2 linked regions of the Oryzias latipes genome follow. The protein of the gene in region 1 purifies or fractionates together with the protein of each later gene. This does not show direct contact. Links are inferred from orthologs where the notes say so. Each region holds a gene or a part of one and is shown on either strand. Other genes may lie near its edges.

What was found. Proteins that work in one complex are often made in the same cells at the same time.
Region 2: the proteins of ccnt1 (region 1) and larp7 purify together in Homo sapiens (affinity purification with mass spectrometry; 10 studies listed by BioGRID and IntAct, with this or other methods). This does not show direct contact. The link is inferred for Oryzias latipes from reciprocal best matches to the Homo sapiens genes CCNT1 and LARP7.

Annotation. Positions count from the first base shown.
Region 1 is NC_019865.2:25,914,536-25,922,924, reverse strand, and holds the start of ccnt1 (cyclin-T1), read right to left. Parts: upstream 5,580-8,389; 5' UTR 5,546-5,579; coding exon 5,373-5,545; intron 3,641-5,372; coding exon 3,559-3,640; intron 3,471-3,558; coding exon 3,342-3,470; intron 2,789-3,341; coding exon 2,728-2,788; intron 2,154-2,727; coding exon 2,091-2,153; intron 1,963-2,090; coding exon 1,905-1,962; intron 1,803-1,904; coding exon 1,639-1,802; intron 1,516-1,638; coding exon 1,445-1,515; intron 1,016-1,444; coding exon 1-1,015. UniProt on the Homo sapiens protein: Regulatory subunit of the cyclin-dependent kinase pair (CDK9/cyclin-T1) complex, also called positive transcription elongation factor B (P-TEFb), which facilitates the transition from abortive to productive elongation by phosphorylating the CTD (C-terminal domain) of the large subunit of RNA polymerase II (RNA Pol II).
Region 2 is NC_019876.2:11,520,088-11,527,178, forward strand, and holds the end of larp7 (la-related protein 7), read right to left. Parts: intron 7,074-7,091; coding exon 6,777-7,073; intron 6,627-6,776; coding exon 6,485-6,626; intron 6,391-6,484; coding exon 6,269-6,390; intron 5,563-6,268; coding exon 5,462-5,562; intron 5,333-5,461; coding exon 5,173-5,332; intron 5,091-5,172; coding exon 4,999-5,090; intron 3,518-4,998; coding exon 3,440-3,517; 3' UTR 3,178-3,439; downstream 1-3,177. Other genes in the region: uncharacterized protein LOC101168076, read left to right, coding at 413-477, 1,755-1,823, 1,933-2,054, 2,138-2,706. UniProt on the Homo sapiens protein: RNA-binding protein that specifically binds distinct small nuclear RNA (snRNAs) and regulates their processing and function.

The DNA.
Region 1 (8,389 bases):
AGTACGCCCCTTGGTGGTGGGAAAGGCCCAAAGCAGGAAGCAGGTCGGGTCCATGACCCAAAGTTTGTCCAGAGGAAGCGGACAGGGACGGTAGTTGGTATGGATTCCTGGACGACTTGCTGACTTTGAGGGGCGGGTGGGAGCCGGCTGCAGGGTCTGGAAGGTGCGTCCTCTTCCGTGAGGCTGAGGATGACGAAGAACTTGTTCTAGAAGAGTCATTGGGAACTTTTTTACTGCTTCCTAAGCCCCCACTTGTACTAGAATGTTTGTGGGAGGACGAGAGTGAAGCGCTGCTGGAGGAATGGTGATAGTGGTGGTGGTTAGAGCGCTCCCTGTGCTTGTCCCTGCTCTTACCATCCTCCCCAGAGCCTGTCTTTAGTTTGTCAGGCACTCGTATTTTGACTTTAATGTCTGCATCCTGACCTCGGTCACTGCCACTTTGCGCACTGCTGCCGCTGCCGTGTCCGCCACCGCTGCCCCCTCCTGACCCAGGTACTGGATAACGCACTTTTAAAGAGCGGTCGTGTCTCTCTTTTTCCAGGGGGATTTTCAAAATAATGGGCGAGGGGTTAGACATGTCAGAAGAAAAGCTGGACTGCTGGTGGTGATGCTGCTGCTTCTCTTTCCTCTGCTGTTGGCCGATGAGAGCCTTCGCTGCATTGGCATATTCTCTCTTGACGCTGTCCTCCATGTTCTCAAGCTTCCGCTTCTGGGCGGCTAGTACATCTGCGTTCTTGGCCCGGTACTCACTCAGTGACACTTTGGCAGGAGCGTGGACCTCGTGGTTGGGCGGTAGTTCAGTTGCAGACGCACCTTTCCCGCTCCACGTCTGAGCGCTCCCAGGTGTGACCTTGTCGCCCGCAGATGAGGAAGAGGAGCCCGATGGAGCGGAGAGGCTCATGAGTCCTGCCACAGTACTTTCTGATGAGACCATGGAGATCATGCTGATCATGGCGTCTCTCTGTTCACCTTCCTCCTGGACCTTGGGCTTGACCTTTGGGGTCTGGCCTCCAGCCTGAGAAACAAGAAACATTATTAGGTCAGAAGTTCCATTCACACAAAAAGAGAGCGCTTGGCTTTCAGCAGGGGAGCCCAATCGGATCCATACGTCAGTGCACGTATGTGCATGTTTAACCACACAGAGTGCCAGATGTGTGATCGACCAGCCCCCTCTGCCTGCCATTGCATAGGCTCTGCTGGCACAGCCACGCGCCGGTTCCTAGGGTGAATGCCACTCCAGATTGCAGGAGCATTTGAAACCCACTCAGGCAGCAGTGCCGTCCAGAAGCATGTGCTTCTCGAGCCCCACCCATGAACCGGGCACCCGGCTGGGCTGCTGTGTGCACTCTGCCGTTGCTCGCCCACCACCCTGAAGAAAGCCCGAGCAGGTGGAGACCAAGAAACTGTGGGCTCCGCTAGCTTACAGGCAGAAACAAAGTCGTACCTTCCAGTTCCGAATCCGTTTAAGCCGACTAGGAGTTTTCTCCAAGATTTGCAGAAACTCATGCGTGAGTTCTGCAAAAGAGTTACAGGCTACAGTCACAAACTCTCCAAAGACGGATTTGCAGTTCTTTACACCATTTTTGCATTTACAAAAAAGAATAGTTAAAAAAAAAAACAACAGGATTTGTGAAGTACCGTCCAAAAGCTCCAAAGTAACCGTGGGATCAACGTATTCCCACCAGTGTTTGCCATCAGTGGAGACGGGGATCTCCCAGTTGGACCACTTGCATGCAAGATGTATGCACACGCAGGCCACGACGGGGGGGCAATACTGCAGGCAGAAGGTGGTCAAATGCAGACTGGGTGGCAGGACGCACGAAAAGAGAGAGAGAGAGGAAACAAATCAGCCCATTTCCACATCAAAATTCCCACCGTAAAGCCGATGTGAAAGGAGGGCATACCTGTTAGTTGCCATAAAGTAGGATGTTTGGGCCAGATCCTTGCTGGCTGCAATAAAACCAAAACAAAGAAACAAAAAAAGACCTTAAAGTCTGCAAATTAACAATTGGAGGTACAAGTTGTTGAATAGTGCCAAATAGACGGCATTTTTTTTCTTTATATACGCATATTGTGGACAAGGTGCTCACCTCTGACGAGCTGAGTGCACTTGACAACATGAGTGTGAGGATGATCAATGGTGATTTCAAAAGCTGCCACAAAAAGGGGGACAAGAAAAGAGAAAGACATCAGCTCACTGGTTGCCAAATTAAAACGTTCAGGTTTATTTGAACCATTTGGCTTCCACTGGATAGGTAACGTTACCAAAGACCCTAAGAAAAAAAACAAAAAATGTGTAATTATTCAAACAAAACGCCAAGTGGAGATCAACGTTTTATGAGAACTCTTCTCATGGGATCAAACCTTGGGCAAAATCAAAATATTAAAACCTAATCCACACAAAAAAGTAGAAGGAAAATTAAAAAATGGCCCATCATTTTCAGTTCCTCAAACATGTTCTGCTCCACGAAGTTGTGAAAAAGCATTCTTAAATTTATATAGAAAAAAAGGACGAAAATAAAGGACTGAAATGGTAAACGATAAAGAGAATGAAAGAAATGCGACTGAACAGTGGTGGAAATGCTTCTAACATGAGTTGAGTATGTGTTTTCCAGTGCTGATAACCACATTTGGAGTTTCTGGAAACAGAAAGCTGCAGAGGTCATCTCGGTCAGGATGATTCTCTGGAGGGAAAGGAAGGGTCCCAGGTTTGCCTCCCAAACTTACCCAAGGTCTGGAGTATTATGCTCTCAAGAATGACCAGGTCTTGGGCTTGTGTCAGGTAAGCCTGAGGTTGAGAGGACAGGCATGTTACTCTCCCAGACGCCTGCAAACTGTTGTCAAACAAGAGTGTCTGAGCAGCTCACTCTGTGGTCCTAGAAATGTTCGTCCATTCATGTAAAAGTCCACAAAGCGAGCGCAGACACTCCTGTTTTACAACCGATAGACATCACATCACCTGGGTGACTGAAACCTACACAATCAGACGCATTTTGACCCTTGCTCTCTCAACCCATAGGGAGCAGCGTCTCAAAAAAAAAAAACGTCAACAAGTCGGTCAAGTGGTTGTTTAAAGTTAACATGAAAAAGAAACCAAAGAGTTAAGAAACTCCCCCCGCCCCTCCTCTTATCACAGAACCATGGCAAACATTGTTCTTTCTAGAAAAGAAAAACTGGGATTAAGTGATGCACACAATTAAGACACAAGAACTGAGAAGACAGCTCAATGAAATGCAGTACACAGGAGAGCAGTTCAGATTTACAAGCCAAGCAGCGCTTTTGCAGTTTTTTTTGAAATGCAGGACAGACGAGTACTCATCTCACCGCCGTGAGACACTTACATCGCTGCGCACATCGGGCGACGGCTCCTGAGGATTGAGACACGCATGGGCCACTTTAATGACATGTTCCAGCTTCCTGGGCTGCTCTTCAACCTTTGCAGCGAGGAAAAGTGCGGCAGGAGAAATCACCTGAGGAGGAGGTGATAAGTTGTGACTTTTATTTCCACCGGTAAATAAATCTTTAAAACAAAATGGTTTTGGACATGAAAACACTTACATTTCGGTGAAATCGGGTGAAGGACTGGATCATGTAGAAGCGATGCATGTACACGATGGCTGTGTTAATGGTAAGTTGGGAGCTGTCACGCCAGTTAAGGACCATTGGAAAAACTGTGCAATCCTAAAACGCCACCGGAGAGAATTTTGCTAAAGTGACACAGACAGAACGTGTATCCTTAAAGCTGCGGACACACCGGACACGCGATGGACATTCTTGAGTGTAATCGCAGCATATGGTCTTCGCACTGCCCAAGTAGGGAGGGGCTTCTTCTCTCTCTTTATTACCATTTGTTAGCACATGTCTGCCACCTACTAGAAGTTTGGTGCGAAATGTCCAAGTGGGGAAAACCTCACAAAACTTGCTCCAGGCTTTTTCTTTCACAGCTCTATTCCGACATGAAAGACTTGGTTCATAGAATTCTGGCTGGGCACAAACTCTGATAATTTCTCTTTTAAAATCATCAAATGGACGGTACAACCGTGAATCAAAAGTGACGCCATCCATACCCAACTACCAAGTCCGAGATTTACACGGACTTTTTTTAATTGGAATAGGCTGCATAGCACACGTTGCAGACATTAACTGTAAATACAAACTAGACATACTGACCCCTCCTCCCTTATGTTCCAAACAGGAAGTACCCCCTGGCTCCAAGAAGCCAAAATTCCCATAGACTTTTATAGAGAAATAGATGGCTATTACTCAGTCACACTGCTTGTCACTCAGAATAACAGTTCTTGCTCTGCTATATATATTTTTTTACAGGTTCTTGCAAATTTATTTCCTGGTCTTTTTTTCTTAATCACAATTTATAAACTGACCAATCAAATGTCTCGGTAAAATGATTTGGTGCCCACTGGCCCCCCATCTCCAACCTTTGACAGATTCTCCCAAGCCACTTTCCGTGGAAGTGGTGTGGAATTCAAACATGCTTAGGATATAAAAGCCCCTCCCTTTCTTCTTAAATGGTGTGCATCTAATTAGCCAGTCGTGGCGGTTAAAGAAATAAACAAGTAGGTGGTGCAGATTACAGTAGATTACTAGCTCTTGGGAGCTTTGTGTGTCCTATTCAGAGCTCTTCTGGATCGCAGTCTGAGCATGCCTCTTAATTTGAAAATAAAACGTTTAGCTTAGTTACATTCATATAAACAAAAAAACTAAGAAATACAGTTAAATCTGGGAATTCTTTAGCAACATTCACGTGTTTTATGAGCTTTCCATAACTTAGGATACCCTTTGGTTGGAGGGCCTCCTTTAAATTTCACCGTGAGGCCCCCCAGAACATATGAAGCGTCCATGATGAGGATAATAAAAATAGCCCATCATGATTTTTACCACCACACCACAAACAACGAAAGCCAGGTTGCAGTACAGTAGTATAACCTCAATCCCTCACTCACAGCCTCTGAAGAGGCTTTTCAAGCCTACAAATAAACAATTTTCCTAAAAAGTTGATTCAATTTCAATTTATACTATAACTGTGCTGTTTATTTTTTAGCAGAATATATTCATCTGTTCAGAAAACTTCTTCCTAGTCATTTGCGGCTAGTGAAGCTAACGTCCCGGACAGGCCTGTCGAGCTACAGGCCTTGGTGGACCCGGCTAGCCTGAGACGCCGCAGGGAGATGTTAACGTAGAAACAGCGACGGAAAACAACCGCCATTTAGTCAACAACACACGATACTAACAAATAAACAAGAACCCGTCGAACAACACAAGAAATACCGGCCACGCTCTTGGCCGAGCAGGTTACACTTTGCTGGCTAGCATGCTAATGCTAGCTACGTGCGACGCAGCACGACAAAAGATACACATTGAGCCGCTGTCCCATGTCCTGGATCAGGTTCGCTGCCTGTTGCCTGTACGACAGCTCCTTGTCGGGGTCTAGTCCAGCTCGCCGAGAGGGGTTGTTGTCGATCTCCTGCCTGGTGAAGTACCATTTATTATTATTGCTTGCAGGGAGAGAACGAAACGAAGCCGCCATTACTAAGAAGGACGAGAGTTTAAAATTTCTGCGCGTCACAGGAACATACGTCACAGAGGGCGCTGTTCCTCTGGTAACCGACAGATGTCGCCAAAACCAATGTGTTACTAGGCAATATGGGTTTTTGCATTTCCTTCACAGATTCTGTGTTGGATTTTTTGGATACTTTTTCTTCTCTTTTTTGCAGTGTGGTGGTATAAATATTACTCCATAAAGATACAGCCCCGTTTCATTCACAGTGCAACTGATTGAAGGAGGTTTTCACTCAAATCTATCTTTCCTTAATAAGTCTTCTTGTCCACTTCGCAGAAAACCAGCCCCAAAGCATAACGTTTCCACCACCATGCCTCACAGTTAGTATGGTGTTCTTGGGGATAAAACTCAGCATTTTTGTTCTCCTAGTGCTCCTCTGGATCAGCCTCTGGCATGATTTAACAAACATGGACATGTGCTGGAGGTGGACCATTGGAGCTTCACTTTCTGACTTTCTCAATCTACTGATCAATATTTGTTCCAAAACTCACCTGTGGTCATGAGCTCTGGGGGATGACTGAAGGAACGAGGTCCTGAATACATGAGCTTCCTCCATCGGGTGGCTGGGCGGTCTTGTAGAGATAGGGTGAGAAGCTTGATCACCTGGAGAGAGCTCGGAGTAGATCCACGTCTCCCCTAGATCAAGCAGAGCCAGATGAGGCGGCTCAGCCATCTGGTCTGGATGCCTCCAGAGCCCCTCCCTGGTGAGGCGTTCTGGGCATGTCCCACTGGGCGGTGGGCCCAGGGAAGAACAGGACACGGTGGAGAAACGATGTCTCTCAGCTGCGCTGGGAAGGCCTTGGTGCTGACTGACCGCAACCTGGGCAGAATAAGATGGAATGATGGATGGATGGATGGATGGATGAAATGATGGATGGATGGTTGGATGGACGGAATGATGGATAGATAGATAGATAGATAGATAGATAGATAGATAGATAGATAGATAGATAGATAGATAGATAGATAGATAGATAGATAGATAGATAGATAGATAGATAGATAGATAGATAGATAGATAGATAGATAGATAGATAGATGGATGGATGGATGGATGGATGGATGGATGGATGGATGGATGGATGGATGGATGGATGGATGGATGGATGGATGGATGGATGGATGGATGGATGGATGGATGGATGGATGGATGGATGGATGGATGGATGGATGGATGGATGGATGGATGGATGGATGGATGGATGGATAGATGGATGGATGGATGGATAGATGGATGGATGGATAGATGGATGGATGAAATGTTGGATGGATGGATGGATGGATGGATGGATGAAATGTTGGATGGATGCATGGAATGATAAATGGATGGATGGATGGATAGAATGATGGATGGAAGGATGGATGGATGGATGCATGGAATGATGAATGGATGGATGGATGGATGGATGGATGGATGGATGGATGGATGGATGGAATGATGGATGGATGGATGGATGGATGGATGGATGGATAGAATGATGGATGGATGTATAGATGGAAGAATGGATGGATGGAATGATGGATGGATTGAATGATGGAAGGATGAATGGATAGATGAATGAAATGATGGATGGATGGATGGATGGATGGAATGATGGATACAGCCATTGATGGCGTAGTTCCACTTAAAACTAAAACGTTGAAAACTAAAGCTACAGCACCCTGGAGGAACGAATCAATCAGAGCCATGAAACGTGAATGCAGGAGTGCGGAGAGGAAGTGGAGAAAAACGAAATTAACTATACATCGCAAAATTTTTAAAGAACCGCAAATGATGTACAACCATGCAATAAAAAAAAGCAAACTTGATTTTACAAAACAAAAATGATCCTAAAGTTCTCTTTAAAACAATAGACAGTTTAATTAAAAGAGACTCTTAAAGGTCCTCCACAGCAGCCTCAGATGCTGTATGTGAGAGTTTTGCCGACCACTTCAAGAGTAAAATCAATGCTATTAGATCTAGTCTCTTAACTCAAAAAGGTGTCGTTTTGAATAAAACTATAGCATTGCATTTATCAGAGGAAACACTGGAAAGTTTTGTCCTGGTTGATGCTGTGGCACTTGGTCAGGTTTTCTCCCAGTTAAAGCCAACCACCTGCCTTTTAGACCCAATCCCCACATCGTTGTTGAAAACATTTTATGACTTCTTTGAGTCTGAGCTTTTAAATATAGTAACTTATCGTTTCCCCACTTCAGGAGGAAGCCAGGTCTCTACATTCCATCATTTTTTTTATCATGGTGTGCGTATGAGTGTGTGTTTGGGGGGTTGTTGGCACTCTTTGTCTTGTCATCTTGTTTTTAAATTTTATTGTATTTTATGCACAGCACTTTGTGACATGTGTTGTTGTAAAAGTGCTATATAAATAAAGGTTAATTTGATCTACCAAGTTTAGTAGAAAATGTTTATTGCAAAACTGTAAATCCAACTAGATTCTTTGAAACTAAAAAATATTTTCCTTCTCACAAGTTCCTAAACATTTCTTTCCGTTTTTTGTCTCCAAGCTGTGTTCAAACAAAATTCAGAATAATATAAATATATATATATATACTTTAATCGAGAATATGTAAAAGTTATGTTTCTTGATGAGTGAAGTAGATTTATGTACTAGTTGAAAGTAAAGTATGAAAGAACAAGAACGCGTACGTTCGACTGCTCTTCACATCAGCTTTTAACACCATCATCCCGCAGACCCTCACCCAGAAACTACACACACTAGGACTGAACCCCACTCTGTGCAACTGGGTCTTGGACTTCCTGACAGACAGACCACAGTCTGTAAAAATCCGCAACGTCTCCTCCTCCCCGATCAC
Region 2 (7,091 bases), on another chromosome or scaffold:
GCATTTTTTTATTGGTCTCATGGGTTCAAGCCCTTACTATTTCATAACCATTAAAAGTGTGACACTCTTTTTATTGTTTTTTTCTAAAGGAGGGGGGAATTTAGTGCATGAAATAAACATAGTGACAGATGGTTCAGTCAGGTAGCCATAAAGGCAAGCCAAAATCCTCCTCCACGTGAAACGAGGTGATGCGTTTGAGCACACTCTCTGTGTTTCAAAAATGTCCTTTCTGCAGAAGCTCCGAGTAGGTTTAAACCCACTCGTGTCCACTGCGGGATTGTTTAAGTGCTTTGAAGTGGATCTCAAACGCCTTGGCAACGGTCCGCATCCACGTGCATCACCCGGCGTTGTTTATTTTTAGAACGGTAGAAACGTTTTTTTTTTTTCTTCTTTCATTTTTTTCGGTTTGTTCATGGCAGAGAAACCACAAACAGAAGACATGAACCCACCAGCAAACAGGGAATTCACGAGGAGAAGGTGAGCTGAAATAGATAGTTTTCCTGTTATGAACAAAAAAGGCGGTAAAAAAAAAAAGAAAAAGGAAAAAAAAAAGACCACGTTAGCTAAAAGAGTTGCGTTTTTTCTCTCTTGGCTTTTATTAACTCTATTATGCTTCTACTCAACTAAAAACTCATGTTTTGATCTAGTTTTGTTTTTTTTTATAATAAAAAACTATCACCACTAAAGTACTAAATAAAACCGTTGTTCGAATTAGTAATTCACTTTTTATTAAATTTTAATATGAATAAAGATCGGTTTTCAAAAAAGATAACATAATTTGTTCTCCATTTTTGTCAACATTTTAAAGTATTTTTCTGTGCATGTTCAGAGTTTTAGAAACCAAACAGTTTCAAATAAAACTTTATTTTTAAAACTGTCGTTTTAAAACATTGCCATGGTATAATATTCCGTTGCCATGGCATAATGTTCCGGTTAAAAACAAAACTGCCAAAGATTTCATTTTTACCTATAAAAGTTGAGTTTTTGAGTCAGTGTTGTTCATGAAGCGTTTGAAAATATACTTGCAAGCTTTTTTTTTTTTTAACATACTTGCAAGCTAGCTGCAAACGTTTATCGGAAGTTACCTTAAGGATATCCCAGAATGCAATACGGGCTCCATCCGGAGTTATGACATGTATGTAGGCAGATGTGGGTTTTTAAAATACAATTGAAGGACAGATGAAGACTGGATACAAAAAATTACCAACCAAGCTATGTAAAGATGAAAAAATACAAGAGAATTTAAAAGAAAAACGATACAATACTAAAAATTACAATATGAAATTTGAAGAAAAAAAAAAGTATAAACGAAAAAAAAATGTATACACATGGATAACATGTACAACCTTCAGGAATAACCGGCAAAACTGCAAAAAGCAATTATAATGAAAAGATCACTGGGATTGCTTTTAAAATATATCAAAAGATAATTGGACTGGGACTTGAAATTTATGTTTTCTATCCATTCATGCACTGAATCCATATGGTTTCACATCCTTACGCCTTTTATGCTGCATTTTAATGACTGCTTTGGCTTGTAAGACAAGAAAACCTCTCAGTGAGAAGCAGAAGTGGCCCCAAAAATGGCTTCTTCTGCAGGCAAAGGTGCTGCATGAGGGATATTCTTGCAGTTTTTATTTGATTATACATGCAACCCAACAATATCCTTATTTTTTTGGTTGTTGTTGTTGATAACGTTGAAAGTTTTCACCAAAAACATCTCATTAGGACTGTGATGTCATGTCTTTTCCCAGATCTATGTTCCTGATGGAGTATGAGACCCGCTTCCTCTCACCAAGCCTCGAAAAATACGCCTCACACAAGTAACTTTCCTTTTACTTTTCCATTTATTTTATTCTTCAGTTTTGACTTTTTTTTTTCCCCCCCTCCCACTCGTGTCTGGGTTACGTGTTATGTTCTTGTCTGTTTCAGAAAAGACAAGAAAAGAGACGCATCAATCCAAAAGGCTGCGCTGCCACCAGCAACACCTAAACGACACTCTGCACCTCAGGGGGAAAAGGACAACAAGGCCGTCCACACAACCACTTACACAGGCAAGAAAATTGCAATTTTTTCTCATAAACATCAACGGTTTTTAAATCTGACTTTTTGCAATAAATGTGTTCATTTTTTCCAGAGGATTTTAAAGCTTGGAAAGCCAAGAAACGTCACCCATGCAAGCTTGAGGACAACTTAGTAGCTTCCCATGGACTGGTTCCTGTGAGGGATTCTGGCAAAGAGAGCAGGAAGTGCCAACAGAAAGACGACCGGCTCCCAAAGGACGACGGACACTCTGAAAGGGTCACCAGCGGCAGGCTGGATTTTTCCGCCACTGTAGATGAGGCGCAGAAAAGCTGGAGGATGGCCTGGACCAGTGGAGGTCATCTCCCTCCGGCTGACGTCAGGGACTCTCTGAAGGTTTTGAAGCTCTACTCTCAGTTCAAGGAGGCTAATCCAGCAGCAGAGCACAAGCACCAGTCGCCAAAGGCAGAGTGTGAAGCCAGCGAGGATAAAGGCATCGAGTGGACCGGGCTGTCTGTGAAGCCCAGAGAGAGAGGCACGATGGCGATCCAGCCACCGCAAAAGGACGGCTGGGAATCTGCTATCCAGACAAACGAGGACGTCTCCAAACCAAACCAAAGCTGCAACAACCAGCCTCCTCAGGACTCTGTCTTGAATTACTTCATCAGCCTCCATCAAGACTAACAAGTCTTCTTAAAAGATTAAAACAAACCGACATGATATGTGTAAGCGTCTATGTTGATGAAACAGCCATCTTAAAGAGCCACTCCGATGATAATTATGTTTTTAACATGTTCCTTTTGACGATGGAAGACATGTATTTAGAAAAGTCTGAGTATGTCTGTATTCAAACCGCTGTGAATCAGGACCAGACGGAAAAAATGCAGATTAGAGAGTGTATTAGTGAGGATGACTCCCTATTGACTCTCAGCTATGGGTCGGGTTGCTCTGAACCACCAGTCCCGCCCACAACTCTGAGGTAACTACTGCCGCTCTGCAGAAACTATGTCCCACCAGACAACAGGCTTTTGATTTCGGCTAAAAACAGCAGATCATAGTGAAAAGACCACTGGGAAGGCTCTGAAAATGGATCAAAAATTAATGGAAGTGAGTCTTTAACAAGCACAGGAGTGTCTGAATTTAAAACAAACATTGTGATCGTGAAATTTCTGTTTTCTTTATTAGTAAAAAAACAATAAGATTTTCATTTGGAGTTCATTTATGTAGTATCTATACAGGATTGCTTTAAACACACAAGAACCTGGTAAAGAAAGCTCTGTCTTTATCAGCAGTACGTGGCATTTTTGGAACTCTAGTGCCAAAAAAACAACAAAAAAAAACCCCAAAAGGACAGAAACTACTTAAAACCATTCAAGTCCTCCTTCAAGACAGGAAACATCAGTTGAACGTGTGCAGCTCAGTCCTCCTCAAAGCGGATGTGCTTGTTCGCCTCCTTGGCTCTTGCCATGATGATTTTTTCAGCTTTAGATATGAGCTGAGGGGAGATGAGACAAGATTGGATGAGTTCCTTAAAAGCTTCTGCAAAAGAGTTTCTGTTCAATAATCATGTCTGCTTTAATGATCCAGCCAGTGGCAGAAATTTCGTTTTTGATCGACCAATGTGGAAATCTAAAGCAAATGATGACACTTTTTTACCCAGAAAACCCTCTGGTGTTTTCACTACATAATTAAAACAAAAGATAACAAGAACTTTAGTAACATTGGTAGATTTTTTTCACAGAAAACCAAAATTCAATGAAACAAAGTTGTTTTGTAGAAGTTGTTTCAGTTTTGTAAATAATGCAATTAAAACAAGCATTTTTTATTGTTAATTTATTGAACACCATTATAACACTGAGAACTAAAGCCAGTATCAGATCATCTTTCAGGACAAAAAGATTGATCATATTTTGTTTTTTCATAAATTCTGATTCATTGTGTTTTTTTAGGAACATTTTCTTTGATCAAGTTTCTTAACAGATGTCTGCATAATTCAGCCTTGCTGTAGGAAAATTCCTAAATCTCCTTTTTATAAGTTTCCACTAATCAGTAACTGAATTGAATCTTCATTCTCCGTAAAATGTTTTCAGCTGGTTAAACTTAAACTTTGTGATGAAGATTTTCCCTTTAACGTCAACGTGGATGCCAACAACTGGATGCTAACTTCAGCTTCAACGTTTAATGATGGATAAAGAAAGCAAAAATAATGACACAACTGTCTATAAAGTGGTATTTTATAAACATGATAATAAACATGAATCCACCGTGTCTACATCTTCATTACCTGCATATGTGTCAGTCGCTGCATATTGAAACATACTTTTTGTGCAATACTCACCAGGAACCACACCGTAACATATTGATATCACATTGATATTATATTATTTATTTATGTCTGAATGTAAACGGCTGGCCCGGGACCAGAGAGCCTAATTTCGTTTTATCATGTGATAAAATGACAATAAAGATTTCCTGATTCCTGATTAGGCAAAGCGAGCAGCTTCTGGTACGTGAAAACAATTGTCTCAATAAATCCGTATTTGGAGGAAAACTTCTAGTTCTGTCTGTAAATAGCAGCTTTATTTTCTTTGCAGCCAAAGACTCTTCTTTAGTTTCTTCACTGACTCTTCTCCCCAAAGAAACTTTCCAAATACGTTGAATTGTTTGGTTTTTGTTAGCTTTTAAGTGTTGAACTACTAACTTAGCGAACGAGCAGCTGCTTAAAGTCACGTGACGCGTCAAGACAGACGGATGTGGTGAACAGAATCTGGTAGTTTTCCAAAATAAAACTTCCTTTAGTATCAGAAAATAAACAAAACGGAAATAATCAAAGTTAGAGTTTGTATTTTTTTTTTGTCTGGCGAGCAGCCCTTTGACTGTTACTTACCAAACAGGAAACAAATACTTCAATTGACAACTGGCAAGTGTTAGTTTGAGAACCGAGATGCACCACAAGGACGTGCGACTGAACTTCACCTTCTCTTTGCCTCTCTTTTTTTCTCGGGGGCGATTCAGCTTCACCTGGCGGTCCACGAGGATCTTATGCCAATACCGCTGCTCTTGGTCTCCTTTAGGAAAAGTCAGAGAGCAAACCTGAGCTCAATGGGAAAAGATGACGTTCAAACACGGACTGGAGGAACCATGTCACACCTGTTAGAATCTCAACCTTCCAGCTGTGCTCCTTCTGCAGCTGTGCTTTGGCCTGGCAGACACCTTTGGCGCCCTCTGGTGTCAAAAAGCGCACATAACCCTCTGAATCTCCATCCAGGATGTCGACGTAAGCCACTTGAGACACTTCACACAGGATCTCCTGCACACAGCAGTGACACCTTATACAACCTGAACCACAACATTGCTCCCACGGACAAGAAATCCTGCATTTTCTATGACAAACTGCAGCTTCAAATCATAAAAAGAGAAGCCAGAAAGGATCCAGCACCTTGACGATCTTCCTTGCTGGTAGAGGTTTGCTGTCTGTGATCTTCACGATGACGCCACTGACAAACTGAGGACTCTGGTTGTTTTCTTTTTTGCTTTCAACTGCAAGTTAACAAAATAATGTTGCATTTCATTATGTATATCAGTTGCGAGGAACATGAGCATAGTTTACATCGTTTCTGCAGAGCAACAGTAGTTCATTAGAAATTCAATTCTGAGTTGTGGGCGGGGCTGTGGGCACGATGCAGCCTCACCCCCTCTGCCCGCCAATCCATGACTGAGAGCTAGCTTTCCAACCTAACATTAGTGATGCAACAAAAGTGGCGAGCAACGTTGGAGCCTCAGTTTTAAACTAGATGCCAGCTCAGACAAGGGAAACAAAGACGTACACGGATCTGCAAGTGGATGCATCAGAATGGAGCAGAGCAGGGAGCTTGTGGCCCACCCAGAGTATTTTCTACGTCACCAACATGATGTTTTTCCAACTTCATTTTTTCGTCTGCTCCGGATTCCAAATAATTTAAATAAAGAACTACTCAGAAGTGCAAATTTAAGCTTAATTGTTTTTATGCATGTCCTCCAACATCAGAAAAAAGCCAAAAGAACATGTTAAAACCACAACTACCACTAGAGTGGGGCTTTGAAGGTCAGACCGCAAGGTAAACAAGGCAAGTTTTAGACAAAAATCAAGAGAGAAATGACAACAGAGCCTGTCGGAAAACCCCCTCCCTGAGTCCCAAAACTGAACTCATGAGACGTCATTTACTAATCATGTGTCGTCAACGTGGAAGTGTTTGAGCAAACCCACCGCTCCTGTCTTCAGCGCTTCCCTGCTCTTTGCTTTCAATCTTGTTGAAGCACTTCTTCAAGGACGACATGCTGCTTTTCTGCAGAGCTAAATATTGCTGCTTCAGCTGGAGCCACTCTTTCCTGGAAAAAAAAAAAAAAAAAGGGGAGTAAATAAAAAGGATTCAACTGGAATTTAAGGCATTTTATAGCAAATCATCAAAAAGTTGCTGCTAACTTTGATAAAACTCGAAGTGGAATGACTTCTTCTCCAATTTTCAATTTTTCTTTGTGTTTCTTTTTCCGCTTCCTCTTCGCCTTCACGGCCGAGTCGTCGCCGTTCTCATTTCCCTTCTCGCCGTCGCCTTCGGTGGCTGAATCTACGGGGAAGGAGGGGGAATCACACCATGAGCTCAGCAGTCAGCTGGTTGGACAGCAGCTCTGCACCCACGTCTGTTAGCCAACTCGGGACACATGGAGATGAGTCTAAAAGAAAAGAGAATCTAAAAGTAGGGGAAGTCTGCGCTCACCACTCTTTTCTTTCTCTTTCTCCCCAGATTCACTGCAGCTCCTCTTTCTAATCTTAGACGGCACTTCACTCTCAGCGCCCTCCGCCGTCTGAGAGCGCCGTCGCTTTTTCTCTGACACTTTGCTCTGTTCCCTCTCCGGGTTTGCAGCTCTTTTCTCCGAGTCCTTCGCTGCCGAGTGTTTCTTCTTCGGCTGAAAGGCTTCGGTCTCCATCTCCTTGACTTCTCCTGCAGGCGTCTCAGCTGTTGAAGCGTCTTTCTTCTTCTTCTTTTTACGCTTTTTTTTCTCCTCTTCTTCACCTACAATGCATCAAACCA